3 linked regions of the Arabidopsis thaliana genome follow. The protein of the gene in region 3 interacts with the protein of the main gene of each other region in a pairwise test. Each region holds a gene or a part of one and is shown on either strand. Other genes may lie near its edges. The genes, in order: AT3G13227, GSTU2 and AT4G30940.

Region 1 (3,924 bases), on a different chromosome or scaffold from region 3:
CTGCAGTGCCTAGTTCGAGATCCAATGACTCTACTGAGGTTGGATCTTCAGCAACTGCTTCTAAATCCACAGATGTTACAAGTGGATCGTCTCTATTAGCAAAAGGTCAAACTAAAGGTATGAGAAATTCTTCATGAATCTCTAATCTTGGTTTCATTTTTGTTTATCACATTCATAGTTTGAGGGTTCTGAGTTCTTACTTGGCTTTGGTAACAGTGAAACGGACAAAAAAGAAAACAGTAGCTGCTACATCTACATTGAGGTCAAATAAAAAGGTTTCCAGTTTGGTTGACAAGGTATGTTATTTCTTGAATCTCGTCAAACAACCCTTTTTCTAGATTCTCTTAGATCCAAAACTTAAAGGTGTCTCCACTTGTGCTCAGTGGAAAGCTGCGAAAGAGGAGCTAAACGATAGCGAAGAAGAAGAAGATGATTCCGAAATCCTAGATAGAAAAAGAAAACGAGAAATCGAAGAATGGAAATCTCGACAAATCGCAAGTGGAGAGGCTAAAGACAACGCAAATTTCCAACCCCTGGGTGGTGACTGGTTAGTTACTCTCTCTGTAATGCCAACATTTATTTATCTCCTCTCCCAGTAAAACATGATTTAATTAGTTAAATCTGGTTGTATGATGTGATTAGGCGTGAGAAAGTGAAACGGAAGAGAGAACGAGCTGAGAAGTCTCAGAAGAAAGACCCCGAAAAGCAGCAAAAACCTGATCTAACAAAACTCTCAGCAAATCTCCCGTCGGAATGGCAGGTATTAAGTTTCACCATTCCACTAGCGTTTGATTTGTAAATGAGTACGCAGTTGCTAAAACATTGTCACTTGACTATCTCTCTTGTAGGCATATTGGGACGAATCTACCAAAAAAGTTTACTATGGGAATACGAGTACATCTCAAACCAGTTGGACACGACCCACTACCTGAACCTCAATTGCTTTCTCGTCTCACATTTTTTACAATTTCTTCTGTGATACATTTGTTTTAGATTCTCTAATCTTACCTTTATGTAAATTTATTACAGAGCTAGTGTTGGTGACATATAGACAAAGCTAAATCAAGAAAATATCATTTTACCATTTCCCAATGCTAACGTAATACTATAATTTGTTCCCTTAATCCTATTCCCTAACGTGACTTGTATTGAGTGACAAGATTTGGAAACTCAATTTCTCCATATGTCCAAACACAATGTTTAAAACGACCGAGTAGCGCCGACTAGGTGCTCATAGACGTTGTACAAATCCAACCTTGCCGGCTGAACTATATGGTTTATGATTTGTTCTCTAGCATTCTCGTCTAGGCGGGTCTTGGCGCATTTTGTACTTTTAACCGATGCAAACAAAAATCACGATCATTTGAATTTATTTCATTTGTGCAAACAGCAAAGTGAATATCCAGAGATTTCTCGACTTATGCATTTTTGTATATACACAGACACATACGAGAATTTTAAATTGATGAGAAGAAACACATAATATATATTAATCATCACTTGGGAGAATTAGAGTCTCCACCAGCCAACATGGAAAGGTTAGAGGGAACGGATGTGCCACGAGACATCCCGAGTCCAGCGTTACGACGGTGGTAACGGCACCTGAAGGAGCCAGGGTGTGTAGTTGGTGCGCATAAACAGTTTTGCCTCACGCTCGATGACTTGCTCATACCTACCGAGCCACCGCCACCACCACCACCACGACGTACGCGTGGAGACATGTTGTAAGCTTCTTGTCTTTTAATGTCGTCTTGGCTTACGTCTGCTTCTGTCTCCTTAAGTTTGATCTTCATCATCATCCTCCTCTTTGCTTCTTCCTCTTTCCCTTCCATTTGTGTTTTTTCTTTTTCCTTCCCCTTCTTCTGTGTTTCTTTCTCTACCTTTTTACGAATAGAGAAAACTCTAAAAAATAGTCGGAATTGTGAAACTGGTGAAAGAAAAAAAGATTTGTAGAGTTATAAAAGAGAAGTTAATGTAAACATTATGTATCTAAAAATAGTGATTTTCCTTTGTGTCCTTTCTTTGCGGTTCTGAATATCCGAGGTTGTCGTTTTCTTTGCAGTAAAATCGTCAATTAAATAGAGAGATTTGGAATCGACCAAACAAAATATATGGAGATTTTGGAAAATCGTTTTTGCATTTCAAAAATAGATAGAATGGATTTCAGAACTTAAAATTCTAGGTGTAAAAACAATACGTTCGTTTACACTTTACTCTACTGCTAAGATCGGCCTTAAAGCATTGAGATTAAAATCATGTTTACACTTTACACCTTCGTTTTAATCACTAATTAAGATTATCAACTATGATTGGGTAGACCTTTTATGTATTATGTATTTTTGTCAACTCTTTTTAATGTGTCGTACGTGTGACACATTCGTCGTCATAAATTTTTGAAAACTTTGTCTTAGAATTGTCTCTTTGCTGTTTGTATCATTCAATCCTTGCACTTAAAACGTAAAAGAGTTTGGATTTCAATTAACTTATAAAAGCATGTACAATAAGTGATATTCATTTAATGATACAGTACATCATTTTGACGAGAAATTACAGATAACAAAACCCACATTATTAGAACCAATGTCTAACCAATTATCCGTGGCCCTTACCCGAAAAAATAAGGAAACAAGAACCAAATAACCATGCTTGTATAGATGATTTTCAAAAACATTTATAATTGATTTTACGTTTTCAAACACATACAATTCCAATTTGTAGCTAGAACCTACGTATGCAGCTGACAAAAATATGCCTACTTACACATGCACTAACTGCCGTCAAACCTTTGTTCAGCACAACAAAATGTACAGAGATACAAGAGACCACATAAAGCATTCAACTTGAGCTCTAAAGAATAGATGAGTGCACATTTTGCAGAGCTTCTTAAGCTAATTCGTATGATTGTGAAAACTAAGCTAAGCGAGTAATTGATCATCTAACAAGACTACCAAATGATAAATCATTCTTGTGCCAGTGAGAAACAAACTCCAAGCCCAAATATGCTAAAGTCTACATAACACAATCTAAGTTATAGAGATAAGACAACACTTAAATTAGGTAAACACACAACTAAAAGATGACTAATAAAAGCTTTTTGATGCTCTTCCTGTCCTTAGCAACCCTTCCTGATGTTGGCGCTACATGATAACTCTAGAATGCACCTAGAGCAATTGGAACAATCTAGAGGAACCTGTGAGAGAAGCTTCTATAGCTCCAACTGATTGCTATTACCTCGACCCTACCTTGCATACGGATGGTATCGACTACTGCTACTATAACCCCTCCCATATGGACCACCTGCTCCTTCATAACTGCCACCTGGGCCACCAGATTCATATGCACCGCCGTAACCAGGCCCACCATATCCCCCATAGCCTTCCCCTCCTCCACGAGGATATCCCAAATAGGCTCCTTCTCCTCCACGGCCATATCCCTCACCACCAAACCCACTCCCATAGGGTCCAAAACGACTAGAATAGCCAAGGGGTGGTTCATTCCGGTAACCTCCTAAACTACCACCCCCATAATTATTATAACCTCCTCCAAATTCAGGGCCTACACTGCCACGACCATACCCATATCCCCCAGCATATCTACTAGCAGGACCTCCATGTGACCTAATGGGACCTGGAGGATGACCATACCCTCCATCAAAACCTCCGTAAGGTCCACCATAACTTGCATAACTATCGTTAGAAGAACGACCTCTAGGGTGACTACCGTAAGAAGGAGGTGAACGGTTTAGAGATTTCTTTGGTTCAGCTTTCTTGATCTCCACCTACAACAAAGCAACTTAATTAACCTAGCTATGCTAAGGACCCAAACTATAGCAGGGATTTCCTATCTTACTGTGACAAGCTCCTTACATTTGGTAAGCTAGTGGGTAGAATTCTAACTAAGTTAAACGTGTATAATGAAAGGAAC
Region 2 (4,106 bases), on a different chromosome or scaffold from region 3:
TTGAGATTGAGGAGGATAGTGTTTTGAAGATCAGTGGAGAGAGACACGTGGAGAAAGAAGATAAGAATGACACGTGGCACCGTGTGGAGAGATCGAGTGGACAGTTTACGAGGAGGTTTAGGTTGCCGGAGAATGTGAAGATGGATCAGGTTAAGGCTGCGATGGAGAATGGTGTGTTGACTGTTACGGTGCCTAAGGCTGAGACTAAGAAGGCTGATGTTAAGTCTATTCAGATCTCTGGTTGAGTAATGGGTTCGAGTTTTATCATCGGAGTTGCTTGTGTTTTTGTCATGGTTATGGTTCATGTTTTACTTGAGTGTGTGAGTACTCTATCTAAATTATAATAATCTCCGATTGAGCTATGAATTATGATGTATCGGATACATTTGATCCTAATGAAGTATGGAATAAATAATAATTATTAACCTTTGTCTAAATTCAAAAGAAGTTTAACCGACGAGATGATTTCGCTTAGAGTTCGATTTCGGTTTAACTAAACCAAATCAACCGATACCGTGAATCAAGACGGAATCAAACCCAAAAACTGAAAAGGTTCACATTATATAAATGTTATATTTTGATTTAGATTATTACATCATTTCTTTCAAAATGATTAACATTTTGTTTGATAACTGAATATTTCTTCTGTTTTACAATGTCATTCATTTCAAATGTTTGGCAGACAATGAATTGGCCAAAAAATAGACTCTTCAAAACAAAAAAAGTTGTGTGTTTTACAAATACAGTCGATACATTAATCTCTCAGTTTTAAACTTTTCAACATATGAATCTTAAAATATAAATTGTAGAACGTAATCATTTGGAGATTTGTTATTTCTTGGTCGGCTAATTGACTGGAGATTAGAAACACTAAGTGTTGGTCAAATATCTTAAAACACTAAGACGAATGACGTTGGCAATGACGTGCATACCTTAAAATATAAATCAGTCCTTTTCTGGTGTGATCTTCAAGATATCCTTGGATACAAAGACAAAGAGAAAGCAAAATGGTCCTTTTATTTATTTGTTTATTTCACCACCCATAACTTCATTTGTGTATAGAATATAGTAAACTCAAGTAATCAAGCAAGTAAACGAAACATAAAAAAGAAAAGTAGTGCAAGAAACAGAGGAGTTAGATACCAAAAAGTGAGAGATATCGAATGGCGGAGAAAGAAGAGAGTGTGAAGCTTCTAGGGTTTTGGGCAAGCCCTTTTAGTCGTCGAGTCGAGATGGCTCTCAAACTCAAAGGCGTGCCATACGAATACTTGGAAGAAGATTTGCCCAACAAGACCCCTTTGCTTCTGGAGCTAAACCCGCTTCACAAGAAAGTTCCGGTTCTTGTCCACAATGACAAAATATTACTCGAGTCACATCTGATTCTCGAATACATCGATCAGACGTGGAAGAACAGTCCAATTCTTCCTCAAGATCCTTACGAGAAGGCCATGGCTCGATTTTGGGCCAAGTTCATCGATGACCAGGTATACTAATATTGATTTGCAGATTAATTAGTTGATTCTATGCAGAACAATATTATATTATTCGCTTGTTTATATATTGTTCTTTACTTGCAGATCCTAACACTAGGGTTTAGGTCCCTTGTAAAAGCAGAGAAAGGAAGAGAGGTTGCTATTGAAGAGACTCGGGAACTGCTTATGTTTCTTGAGAAAGAAGTCACTGGAAAAGATTTCTTCGGTGGCAAGACAATCGGATTCTTGGACATGATCGCAGGAAGTATGATCCCATTTTGTCTAGCTAGACTTTGGAAAGGTATTGGAATTGATATGATTCCAGAGGAGAAGTTTCCGGAATTAAATAGATGGATCAAGAATTTGGAAGAAGTTGAGGCAGTGAGGGGATGTATTCCTCCAAGAGAGAAACAAATTGAGCGCATGACCAAAATTGCAGAGACAATTAAGTCTGCCTAAATTAAAGATACTTCTTGCCTACGAAAATATTTGATTTATATGCTTGCATCGTTTTTTATTTATATTTTTATTTTTTAAAGTTTTTCGAAAAATAGAATGACCTAATATTTAAGTAAAAAGATCAAAAACCTATTTGAAAGTTACAGCAATCAAATAACGTGGTGTGTCTGGAGATTGTAAAAGCCAAGACTAGAAGGAAATAAGAATAAAATAACCAAAGTGACCTCAGCAGTGACTTGGTTACCTTACTGATGTCTTTTTTTTTTTTTTTATCTTCAAGATAAGCTTGAGAGTTGAGACTACAAAAAAAAGCACAATATTGTTTTTAAAGTGACAGAGAGAGTCAGAGAGAGAGATCTAATGGCGAAGAAAGAAGAGAGTGTGAAGCTTCTAGGGTTTTGGATAAGCCCTTTTAGTCGTAGAGTCGAGATGGCTCTCAAACTTAAAGGCGTACCATACGAGTACTTGGAAGAAGACTTACCCAAAAAGAGCACTTTACTTCTTGAACTAAATCCGGTTCACAAGAAGGTTCCGGTTCTTGTTCACAATGATAAATTATTATCCGAGTCACATGTGATCCTCGAATACATCGACCAAACTTGGAATAACAATCCAATTCTACCTCACGATCCCTACGAGAAGGCCATGGTTCGGTTCTGGGCCAAGTTCGTTGATGAGCAGGTACTCTAGTCTAACTAATTAAATTGATTTATAATATTGATTGCAAAATAAATGAGAAACACTTGAGAGTTATTAGAAGTTCATTACATTTCAAGCATTTATATCAGGATTATTTGTAGGATAAAGTAATTTTCTAAGTACTTTTTTTTATAGATTGGTATAATAACTTGCAGATCCTACCAGTTGGCTTCATGCCCCTAGTAAAAGCAGAGAAGGGAATAGATGTTGCTATTGAGGAGATTCGAGAAATGCTTATGTTTCTTGAGAAGGAAGTCACTGGAAAAGATTTCTTTGGTGGCAAGACGATCGGATTCTTGGACATGGTTGCGGGAAGTATGATCCCGTTTTGTCTTGCTCGGGCTTGGGAATGTTTGGGGATTGATATGACTCCAGAGGATACGTTTCCAGAATTAAACAGATGGATCAAGAACTTGAATGAAGTTGAGATCGTGAGGGAATGTATACCTCCAAAAGAGAAACATATTGAGCGTATGAAGAAAATTATAGAGAGAGCTAAGTCTACGTTCTAAATTAATGATAACTTCATAACTCTGTGTTCTAAAATAATGACTATGTGCAGCTTGTATCGTTTTGTTATTGAAAAATTTGAAACAAAGAATGAATGTAGCTGCATTGGTAGTGGAAATCAATTAATGGGTGCAAAGTGAAATGTTGAAAGCTACCTATTATAACTATAATAACAAATATTGATTTATGGTTTAGGGAAAATAAATTGCAAAGATGGTAAATCTAAGTTCGATAGGATGATGAGTTAATTTGTTTCATGATGTGTGGTATTGATTACATGATGTTTGATAAGAAGTTAAGAACATTAACGTATGGTTGGTTAGTATTGGTTTATTGTGTATTGTTGGTTAGTATTTCAGTTTAGTGATATTCTGGTTCTATTAGTCTATCCAATTTTGTATTAGCATTGGTAACTCAATTTCTTCAAGAAATGAAATAACAAATATTTAACATATCTCTCCAAAACTAATACATCGGAAGTGAAAGATGAAAGACATGTTCAAAGAATATTTATCAAAAAAAAAAAAAAGAGAGATGGTCAAAGTTAGACATAAATATTGACTTTTGAGGATTCTTAATATTTTGAACACATGCTGAAATGTTTAGGCGTGAGGATAAATGATGAACACATTTGAAAGTGACGGCAATGATGAACAACTACCTTCTAGATGTTCTTGGATGATACACATGAATGATGTACATACATTGAACTTGTAATTAAGTGTTCCTCACAACTCTAATTAGAAAAGTATGCTTAATTATTGGAGTAAATGGCCTAAAAAAGACTTTTCCTTTTCCTTTATGCCTTTATAATCATGCACAATTTACATGAGAGTATATATAAAGATTAGTTAAATAAAAAATAAAAAAGAGGGAAAGAGATTGATTATTCAATGGCCGAGAAAGAAGAGGGTGTGAAGCTTATAGGGTCTTGGGCAAGCCCATTCAGTCGTAGAGTCGAGATGG
Region 3 (5,107 bases):
CAGTATACAAACTTGGCTACATGGAACTGGCGATTGATGAAGACGATAATGACTGTGTGTCATGTCTATGACAAAGAGGAGAACTACATTCCTTTTGACCGGTTAGCCCCTGAAGAATCTCAGCCAATAACCTTCCTCAAGAAAGCAATGCCTAACTACACAGCCTGATTCGCCATGGTCTCAAACTAGTCTTTTGAAATCTCAATATCTTTTTGCAGTCGCCGATGTTATATGTAAGCTTTCCAAGCGATGAGCTTCTCTAACACTTCACCAACGCTTTATACTGTTATCTTCTTTCCAATCTTATCAGAAGAGAGAAACTGGTCAAATTATCTCAGCGATTGCAATTCTTTTATCAGTTTCTTAGCTATAAGAAGATTGAACAGTCTATATAGTTTGCAATGTACTGTAATGTGATGAAAATTTAGTTGATGAGAATCTTTGAAGATATAAACATCATCTTCTTACTGTGTCTGCAATATTTCCGAGAAAGTCGTGGGAAAAAAGCCAAAAGAAAAAGTGAAGAGAGAAAAGAAAGCTAAAGCAAAATTCTTGGGACTTCTTTACGGAAAGTGGAAAGACAAAGTCATTCACTGTCCAACAAAAGACACTCACATGTCCAAAATAAGGGAGCGAATCATCAAATCTTTAGAAATCTGAGACTGTGGTCACAGTTCACACCACCATGAAAGGAGCTTAAAGCTAAAGGTCAAAAGAGGATTAATTCTTTACATTGAGAAAGAGTCATATAAGGACAAAACAGAACACAACCTGAAACTGGAAACTTAAAATCGTATTAATATCAATCCTAACAAAAGTCTATGATCATGTTCTCTATGTTTATATTCTCTTGACTATTGCTATTTCTCTCATCCTATATATTTTCTAACAACCCTAAAACATTAACAAAAGAAGCAAACCAGAAGCAACAGAAACAGACCAGACTAAGCTCAAGATATCAAAATGTGAAATCAGATGATGGGAGGAGGAAGAGTCTCCCACACATCAAACACATTCTCCTCACTGTGCAATGCAAACAACCTATCCCCACCAATAGAGAAATCACAAATGGAGCCGCCATAGCTTCTTTTCAACCTAGAAGTCAAAACCCAGTCTGATCCACAAAACACAGAGATGGAATCATTCATAGACGAGAAGAGCTGGCCTTCATGCAAAGCAAGTTTGGGGTAACAAGGCTCATCAGGCATCTTGCTTTTCATCAACCTGCTCCTAGAACTCCACCTCACACTACTCCCTCCTCCATCCATCCTCAGATCAATAAACCCTAGATCTTCAAACTCATTCACCACACATATCGAATTGCTCTCTTCCATTGCTATCGCGTCTCTCACTCTCTTCTCTTCCGCCATTGTAAGAAATCCGATATCAGACCAAGACCAGACCATGTTCTTCTCTCGGAAATCCAACAAGCTAATATAACAGTTATCTTTCCTTGGAAACAAAGTAGCTACAAGAAGACAATTCTTACCACTCAACCATTGCAACTTATCAGCATCTCCTAAAGACCAACCAGGACTCTCGTAAAAGAAATCTACTTGCTTTCCAGTACTTTGATCCCAAACTCCAATCCCATACTCATTACTTCTTCCTTTACAGCTCGTAAAGATCTTAGAATCAGGACTAAAACTCAAAGCTCCAGCACTATAACTCTTAACCTGATTATCATGACTAACCTGAAACTTATACCTAAGCTCACCAGAAGATGAGCTAAACAATCCCATTCCTCCATCTCCTCTTCCTAATCTCTCACAAGCAGAGAGTACAATGTTACCAGAATCAATCCAACCAACATCGTTCACTCTCTGGTAATCAAGATTAATCGTTGGATGCTCCTCAAGCATCCAATCAAAGACATGGACGACACTCCCATGAGCTATGCAGCATCCACCATCCGGACCAGCTCTTATCGCCGTTCCGTCTCCAGGAGCTATGCCGGTGACGGAACGAGATAGGTGGAGTCTGTTACCGTCGAAAGGTCCCCACTTTGCGGTTCGTAAGTGGTCTATTAAGCCGTAGAACATTGCTTCTTTGTGAAGGAGACGCTCCGGGATATTAGGCGGGATGTTTAAGTCTCCTGTTCGGAGAAGATCGAGAAGAACAGCGAAGCAATCTGGATTCCTATCGATGAAGAGATCCCCGGGTTGTGAAAGATTCCAATTTTCGTCGAATAATGCTCCGAAGAAGGAATCGCGACCTGCGTTAGCGAGCGTTGTCGCTGTCGTTTCGAAGATTCTGCCACCAACGTTGAATTTGATCCTGTCATTTGATAAACCCATTATTTCTGATTTCTGAAAATAGGTGAAATCAATGATTTTTATGGATTCGAACCAAAAGCATTAATGACAAGACAAGGAAGCCATGAACGCTCGAACTCGGATTGAAAATATTCGAAATTCGATCGGATTCGAAGAAATTGAATCCTGGGAAAGGATAACGAAATGAAATCTGATTTATGATTAATCAAATTGAATACGATGATCTGGACTCTGGATATTTTTTTAAAAAAAGCTGAGATTCCCAGAAGAGAAAATAAAACGATCTGTCTTGGTCTCGGACATTTTTCCGTTGCTCGGGCATTTAAAACGTAAGAAACCCAACTGGAACATGGTGGGACCTACTAGAGACAATACTCGTGTTACTACCGTCAGATGCTTTTAGATATTGTCGTCTATCCTGCGGTCGAGATTTCGTGTAATTTCAAAGCTAATACCGTGATCCATGATAACGTTTCTAAAGCCCATATAGATAGATATCATCCCATTAACATATCCTTTTTTTTGTATGCTGAAATGGGGCCATTAGAAGCCCTGAAGAAAATGAAGAATACAAACAATTTCGTTTTTTCCATTGAAATATTTTGCTATTTTCGTGCTGAGTCTTATCATACATTAAAGTACGTATATGTTTTTCCTCTTTCAGTCACTATTTTGGAAGAACGCAAAACAAACTCCACTTTTCTTGCAGTTGTTTCCTCTATAAAGTAAGTAATTTACCACTGTACTAATCTTTTCGGGGTCAGTCATGATCTAAACTAGATGGATCAACACAACAAAAAATTACCTTTGATATATCAAAATTCGTAGAACATTGACCATATTCATTATGCTATTTATCACCACATCACATGATAATAAACAAACAAACATCCTAGATAGTCTTAAGATAAATTTTACATAGTAAACTAAACGGAACACGTCAATGATTTGACGTGACGCAGGGGTGATTAACGGAGAAATAAACGGAGTTGGTTTAACTATCTACAGTCAAACAAAGACTGAAAGACATTAATGCCCCTTCTTTCTCTTTCTTTTTTGGTATCTTTTTTTCTTTCTTCTTTTGCTTTTAAAGCAGAGAAGGCATAATAAAGGACCAAAACGCAGCGTTTTCTTCCGGAGATCAGTCGGTCGGAAAGCGGCTACCTTTTTGTCTGCCTAGAGAATTTGTTCGTTTCTTTCTTTTACTCTCTTCAGACAAAACCCACGAGATACAGAAAAAGAGGACAAGAGAGAATCGTCCATGGAAGAAGACACTGGTATCGACGAAGCTAAGACATACACGGTGGAGAAGAGCGAGAAAGTGGAGCCGGAGAAGGACGGACTGAGTCAATTCAGAGACGAGGAAAAATCACTTGGTGCGGATATGGAAGATTTACATGATGAGACTGTGCGAGAAACCCTAGGCAAGGATCAGGTTCAAGGTAACGGTTTATTCTGCGCAAAATTCTTTATTGGTTTTTATTTATTTATTCGAGACTTTATTTTTTGACGAAATGATGTTTGAGTTTACCAGGTGTTCGAGAAAATTCCTCTGTGGAACCAAATGTTGAAGATGTATTAGAAGTGAATGTGAGTTTGCTTCAGACTCTTCTGCTATTCATAAACTTTCTTAACACTTACAACTTTGATTCTCTCATTAACATTGATTGTGCTAGAACTTGTAAAGTTTAACTCATTTCAGTGTCTTCGATGTTACTCGTTCAGTGATTATACAATAACATGGGAATAGGATTAATCGTAATGGTTTTAACCTTTGGCCAAGTTCAATCTGTATCTGTATCAGTTTGATCTGTTACATTTTAGTGTGTCTGATTTCTTAGGCAATTCTGAGGACAAGAATCACTGTTATCAAGGCATGACATTTAACTGCTTTTTGTATCACATTGGCAGGAGACTGATAGCGTCAAGGAAACTGTTGTAAGTGCGATTGTGCCGGTTGATGAAGTGGAAGAGAATCGTCAGGTAGAAACATCTCCTTCTCTGGCTGCATCGTCAGACTCATTGACAGTGACGCCATGTCTATCTTTGGATCCTGCAACTGCTTCAACCGCACAAGATTTACCACTGGTTTCAGTTCCAACTAAACAAGAGCAAAGATCAGATTCGCCGGTGGTTAACAGATTGTCGGTTACTCCTGTTCCTAGGACACCGGCTCGTGATGGTTATAATTGGAGAAAATATGGACAGAAGCAGGTTAAGAGTCCCAAGGGCTCACGGAGTTACTACAGGTGTACATACACTGAATGTTGTGCTAAAAAAATTGAATGCTCCAATGATTCAGGCAATGTGGTAGAGATTGTTAACAAAGGTTTACATACTCATGAACCTCCCCGGAAGACTAGCTTCTCCCCGAGAGAGATTAGAGTTACAACAGCTATCCGGCCTGTTTCAGAGGATGATACAGTAGTAGAAGAGCTATCAATTGTTCCTAGCGGTTCAGATCCGTCTGCTTCTACTAAAGAATACATCTGTGAGTCGCAAACACTCGTTGACCGGAAAAGACACTGTGAGAACGAAGCTGTGGAGGAACCAGAGCCAAAACGAAGGCAAGTTTGTAGAATTTTGCATTTCGGTGCTTACTCTTCACTTTGAAAGATGAAATTAATAGACTTTCTTCTCTCTATTTTTCAGACTGAAAAAAGATAACTCACAGAGTTCAGATTCTGTCTCCAAACCTGGAAAGAAAAACAAATTCGTAGTACACGCAGCTGGTGATGTTGGTATCTGTGGTGATGGATACAGGTGGCGTAAATACGGGCAGAAAATGGTGAAAGGAAATCCTCATCCAAGGTCTAGAAAACTAAACGCAT

What was found.
Region 1: the proteins of AT4G30940 (region 3) and AT3G13227 interact in a two-hybrid assay, tested with the Arabidopsis thaliana proteins (one large-scale study listed by BioGRID).
Region 2: the proteins of AT4G30940 (region 3) and GSTU2 interact in a two-hybrid assay, tested with the Arabidopsis thaliana proteins (one large-scale study listed by BioGRID).

The regions. Positions count from the first base shown.
Region 1 is NC_003074.8:4,255,936-4,259,859, reverse strand, and holds AT3G13227 (serine-rich protein-like protein), read right to left. Parts: upstream 1,979-3,924; 5' UTR 1,833-1,978; coding exon 1,497-1,832; 3' UTR 1,212-1,496; downstream 1-1,211. Other genes in the region: AT3G13225 (WW domain-containing protein), read left to right, coding at 1-117, 217-296, 384-547, 643-760, 849-932; AT3G13224 (RNA-binding (RRM/RBD/RNP motifs) family protein), read right to left, coding at 3,239-3,778.
Region 2 is NC_003071.7:12,629,418-12,633,523, reverse strand, and holds GSTU2 (glutathione S-transferase tau 2), read left to right. Parts: upstream 1-2,202; 5' UTR 2,203-2,291; coding exon 2,292-2,612; coding exon of another isoform or gene 2,613-2,617; intron 2,618-2,785; coding exon 2,786-3,142; 3' UTR 3,143-3,326; downstream 3,327-4,106. Other genes in the region: AT2G29500 (HSP20-like chaperones superfamily protein), read left to right, coding at 1-245; GSTU1 (glutathione S-transferase TAU 1), read left to right, coding at 1,164-1,484, 1,578-1,931; AT2G29485 (uncharacterized protein), read right to left, coding at 2,550-2,617, 2,793-2,934; GSTU3 (glutathione S-transferase tau 3), read left to right, coding at 4,034-4,106. UniProt on the Arabidopsis thaliana protein: May be involved in the conjugation of reduced glutathione to a wide number of exogenous and endogenous hydrophobic electrophiles and have a detoxification role against certain herbicides.
Region 3 is NC_003075.7:15,052,339-15,057,445, reverse strand, and holds AT4G30940 (BTB/POZ domain with WD40/YVTN repeat-like protein), read right to left. Parts: upstream 2,574-5,107; 5' UTR 2,298-2,573; coding exon 972-2,297; 3' UTR 501-971; downstream 1-500. Other genes in the region: FAD6 (fatty acid desaturase 6), read left to right, coding at 4-168; WRKY32 (WRKY DNA-binding protein 32), read left to right, coding at 3,538-3,718, 3,811-3,866, 4,188-4,843, 4,929-5,087. UniProt on the Arabidopsis thaliana protein: May act as a substrate-specific adapter of an E3 ubiquitin-protein ligase complex (CUL3-RBX1-BTB) which mediates the ubiquitination and subsequent proteasomal degradation of target proteins.